Kluyveromyces lactis: one gene and its partner. The protein of the gene in region 2 interacts with the protein of the main gene of each other region in a pairwise test. Links are inferred from orthologs where the notes say so. Each region holds a gene or a part of one and is shown on either strand. Other genes may lie near its edges. The genes, in order: PAC10 and GIM3.

What was found.
Region 1: the proteins of GIM3 (region 2) and PAC10 interact in binary tests that used the Saccharomyces cerevisiae proteins (3 or more experiments, as listed by UniProt). The link is inferred for Kluyveromyces lactis from reciprocal best matches to the Saccharomyces cerevisiae genes GIM3 and PAC10.

What each region holds. Positions count from the first base shown.
Region 1 is NC_006039.1:412,093-414,859, reverse strand, and holds PAC10 (tubulin-binding prefolding complex subunit PAC10), read right to left. Parts: upstream 1,274-2,767; coding exon 680-1,273; downstream 1-679. Other genes in the region: DSC2 (Dsc2p), read left to right, coding at 1-585; KLLA0_C04477g (uncharacterized protein), read left to right, coding at 1,556-2,767. UniProt on the Saccharomyces cerevisiae protein: Binds specifically to cytosolic chaperonin (c-CPN) and transfers target proteins to it. Binds to nascent polypeptide chain and promotes folding in an environment in which there are many competing pathways for nonnative proteins.
Region 2 is NC_006040.1:948,886-951,297, reverse strand, and holds GIM3 (tubulin-binding prefolding complex subunit GIM3), read right to left. Parts: upstream 1,109-2,412; coding exon 719-1,108; downstream 1-718. Other genes in the region: KLLA0_D11143g (uncharacterized protein), read left to right, coding at 201-246, 335-579; ARO9 (aromatic-amino-acid:2-oxoglutarate transaminase), read right to left, coding at 1,458-2,412. UniProt on the Saccharomyces cerevisiae protein: Binds specifically to cytosolic chaperonin (c-CPN) and transfers target proteins to it. Binds to nascent polypeptide chain and promotes folding in an environment in which there are many competing pathways for nonnative proteins.

The DNA of each region.
Region 1 (2,767 bases), on a different chromosome or scaffold from region 2:
AGATCGTTAGAGAGGCTATTTGGATCAAGGAAGTACCTTAATATCGTGATATTATCATGGGCTTATACAACAGTGGTAATATTTTTGATTTCGAATCTACTTAACAAGCTTTTGCCTGGAATTTGGTGGGATCAATACACAAATGGCCCACTACCAGTAATATTGTGTTTGACTCATTTCTACAAACAGTATACACCAAGGTTATACGAATTCAATATAATAATCAACCAACCTTTTCTTCTTCATTCTAACACGATCGTTTGGAAGCTGACAGATCAATTTTTCATCCATGGCCTGTTATTCCTTGCCATGGTAAATCAAGGCGCAACAGGGTTGGTAATCGGACTAATAAGTTGGATTTGTGCTATCTTGATGGATAATGGGCTACTACCAGGTACTGACTCCTTCCAATTGGCGCCTTTCAAAGACAGCTGGAACAGAAGTTCTAGCACATTAAACAGACCAAGCGCAGTTATGACAAACGATATGACATCGGAAGATCTAAATGAGGAAGAGGCCGAAGAACCTCAAGATGAACCTCAGCGCACTTTAGGGGTCCAGTTCTTGGATACTTTTAGAAGGTGAAACACTTTTTGTAGATAATGATAATATTTAAATCTATCAATGCGTTGATTCAATTACATGGTGTATATACATAAATAGGATTTAAAGAAACAGTTCAACCAGAAGAGCCTTCCTTTTTCATCTGCTGCCTCCTTTGAACATCCCAATTGTATAATCTAGCACAATTGACCTCCATAGTCGTGATATTCTCTCTTAGGAACTCCACATCTTGCTGAGATATGTCCAGATTTTGCTTGGCATCTGCTAGCTTTTGAGCTAAAAGCTCAATTGCCTCATCTAGAGGATACTCGAGCATCACATCGGCACCTAACCATAACCCGACCTTTAATTCAGGATCCTTCGGATTGACTGACGCCTTACTAAAAAGCGTTTCATTTAGCTGATAGTTGATCAGCAAGCTGTCATCTTCCTCCTCATCGTCTTCGTCAACCTCTGTCTCTCTCTTTTGCTTCAAAAGCGCACACATATTGAGAGTATTTTCAATATCTGGAATCTTGCTTTTAAGCTGTTTTATGTTTGCTAGTTTAGACTCTTGCATGTACTTATATTTGGATAGATGTTCTTGGAACTTGCTGAAGCACATATCGAAATCCTCAGGACTCTTCACATACTGCTCCACCTTTTCCACGAATGGAGCCTCAGGAATCCCTCTAGGATTTGTCTTTGCAGAATTGAATAGCGTATCCATTATGTTACTTTGTAGTTTTGTTTTGACGTCTCCACGCGGTCCAAGCACATACCAAGCAGCTCTTTCCCCTCAATACTTCAACAATTCTTTGTTTCATTCAAAGTTTGTTTTAATTTGCAAAACTATGGAAGATTAACATTGTTTACATGCAGAAGAATGAAAAGTTAACAAGTAAAGGAAAAGTTGGCATTATCGGAAAAACGAAATCATTAGTTCGGAAACTTCATCAAGTGCTCGGACATATTAGAATTCCTGGTTCCTTAGTTAAAATCAAGTCAGTAAATGTTAGAGAATGAACTCTCGTTCGTTTCTCTCACAAGAGTTTCTTTAAACGTAATTGAGTTGAATATACATGCCAAGGATGCAACAATCGTCAATAATGTGTCGTTTTCTCTTCCAAATGGTCAGCTAATGGCAATTATTGGTGGATCAGGTTCAGGTAAGACTACCATGCTTAATGTTCTAGCAGGCAAAACAAATTCGAGTATAAACTATGATGGGGAAATCCAATACAGTCGAGATGCTGCAAAAGAGGGATCTAAAGCTGACGAGAAGGTAACCACAGCGTACTTGACACAGCATGACGCATTAGCTGCGAGGTTGACATGCAGAGAAACACTTCGTATTGCTGCTGATCTTAAATTACATCTGCCGAAACAAGAAAGATATTCATTAGTAGAAGAGTTGATTGCGGAGTTGGGGTTGAGGGATTGCTCAGAGACGTTCGTAGGTGATTCAATAAACAAAGGACTCTCAGGAGGTGAAAAGAGAAGACTAAGTATAGCAGTACAGATGATTGCAAATCCGTCTGTCTTATTCCTGGATGAACCAACAACTGGGCTTGATGCGTACTCTGCGTTTTTGTTGATAAAAACGTTAAAGAAACTTTGTGAACATGGCGGAAGAACTATTATTATGAGCATTCATCAGCCTCGGTCAGATATACTTTTCGCGTTAGATCAAGTGTGCCTATTATCAAAGGGATTCCCGATGTATTGCGGTGCGGTGGTCGGTATGGTGGAATACTTCTCATCCATGGGATACACCGTCCCTGAAAGGTGCAATCCTGCAGATTACTTGATAGATATCTGTAGCGTAGACAATAGAACTGAAAAGTCGACGCTTGATTCTGAAGGAAGGTGGAATATGTTTGCTTCGGAATGGCAAGAGAGATGTTCTACCAAATATGACACCTCAAAGGAAACAGCGGTTATAAGCGTCGATCCTTCTCCACCATCTGTGTCCATCTTACAACAAACATTCATTTTAACCAAGAGAAATTTTTTACTATCCAGTAGAGATAGGCTGACTCTCTTTGCAGTACAATTTGAGCCAGTTATTGTCGGAATTGTAGTCGGTTGGATTTTCTATAAACCAGACCAAACTTCAGAAAGTGGGCTAAGAACAATCGCCGGCGCATTATATATAGTGGGATCAATTCAAGGCTACTTACTTTTGTTACTTGAAACGTACAGGCTATCAGAACTTGATATC
Region 2 (2,412 bases):
TCAAACCGGGTAACGTTTATTAATTTATGATCACGTTGTTTTTTTTTGATTACCAGTTTTTCCTTCTGCCAAATACTCACTATGAGATATGATATCCATATAAAAGAATAATGAATCATGATATATGAAGGATAAGGGAGATTGTTAGCAAGAACAAAGAATAGAGTAGCAACAGTAATAACAAAGCATTAGCCGCAGATATGAGATTTGCACCTATTTTTATTGGAACGGCGTTGGCCAGTTCGTGTATGTTTAAGGACGGATTTTCTTAACCCTTTTTTTTCCCTTTAATTCTCAACTTTACTAACATCATCATCGTCATCGTCAAATACAGTATCTTCACTTATGGTTATATATCCTGACAGCTTCCAATACTACAATGATTTAGTGAATGTGGCACATGAACTTGATGGGACTATAACGCATGAATATACATTATTCAATGGGTTTAGTTTGGATTTGCCAGAAGAGTTTGTCGCTAAATTCAAGGAAATGAACCAACATTTTAATTGGGGGCTTGAAATAGAAGAAGACCAGGAGGTTCATGCGTTAGGTGGGCTGAAAGAACATGCTGTTTGATTGCATTATGGACTGAATCAACGTTGTGTCGGTCTTTACTATTATTTTCTATGTAGATTTTATACGCAAACATATATTACTCGGTTTAAGGATATTTTTTCAATTCTATCAAGCACTTCAGCAATGTATATTTATGGGCTCAACGTTCCAAATTGATGTTGTCACCGAATTTGGCATACAATATACTCTTTAGCTCTTTTATTCTTGAGTCCAATTCCGCCTCATCGCTCTCTAGCTTTTCTATATTGCTGTCGATGTTTTCAGCATCGGATTCTAACTTTTCAACTACTTCTTTCTGTTTTAGAAATACGAAGACGTCTCCGATCTTATATTGTACCTTCTCATCCTCGTCTATCAATTCAATTTCCAACGATACGTCGTCGAGGTACTCTTTCTCTGTTCTTTGTTGCGTCAAATCTTGTTCGATAGCATCTTTTCTCATGATCAACTTGGAGAACTCATTGATACGTTGTTGATCTTCGTATGCAACGGTGACCGTGTTCTTTTGACCCTCCGGTAGTAATTCCATTTCTAGTTAGTGTGTTGCGTGTAAGATGTGGTAGATGTCTCTGTGTCTACTCATGTCATGTACTGTTTTCATCTGTACTTTTAGCCATTCTTGTTATTTTTTATTCAACTTTTACATACTCTAAAGATTTATCTTGCAAATTACACTACTGACATGCAAAATTATGTCATGCAATTTTACAATTTCATGCTCAAAAGAAAGCAGTTGGGACATATTTCACGGCCCTATCAGGTTTATTGTTTCACGTTGTAATTATGCATTCATATATAAGTATCTAACTTTTGTTTTTATGGTGCAACGTGAGGTTGAAAATTAGCAATTACCAGAAAGAGCTGTAAAACAGACCCCTTCAGTTGTGATACTCTTTGAAGAATCTCTCAACACCTTTACCTAGCCTTTCAGCAGCTGTTTGTAAATGCTCTTCATCTGGAGCCATAGCAAATGTAATTCTTAAAAAGTTGGACCTGTCATATGAAAATTTCTTGTCAACTGCCATTCTGTAACCCAAGATTACAATGCAACCTTCTTCCAACAACTTGTAGTTTAAGAAATTCATGGCCTTTAATTTATCCGAGATTTCTCCGAACTTATCAAAATTGATCTTGATACTAATGAACATACCGGCAGAGGGTTCAATCAATTCAAATAATTCTTCTTTATAAGCTGGTGTAGCTTCCAATGCTTGGAAAAGCACATTTCTTCTATGTGTATACTCACCAGCAACTTTCATGACCCATGATAGCCAAGCTCTGACCTTGTCTCCATTGAAATTTTCTGCCCATTTGTCTATTATATTAATGGTCATAGCTTGGGCAAGACCACATGGCGATCTAACAGAAATGTCTGCATATTTCAATAACTTGTCTAGGATAAATTTATTGGCGACAATGAAGGAAAGACGCATCCCAGGGGCGAAGACTTTGGAGAAAGTTTCTAATCTAATGACTCTCCCTGATGTGTCTATGGTCAAATATGAGGGGGCTAATATTTCTTTACAATATTTATCGAAAGTGATAGTGCCATCGTTATATTGATTCTTTAATGGATCAGACTTGTCAAAGGGTAAAAACTTTAGGTAACCATACGGATCATCTTCCACAATTATAATGTCATGTTTTTCGCATAGATCGTATATTTTCTGTCTCTTCTCTTTGCATTGTGTCATACCGGTTGGATTTTGCCCTGTGACGATTGTGTATAACAGTCTAGGCTTAGATAAGTGAGAATATTCACCTGTTGACCAATTCTCAAGCAATTGGTCCATATACTCGACGTTAATACCCTGCTGAGAAGCATCATCCGTG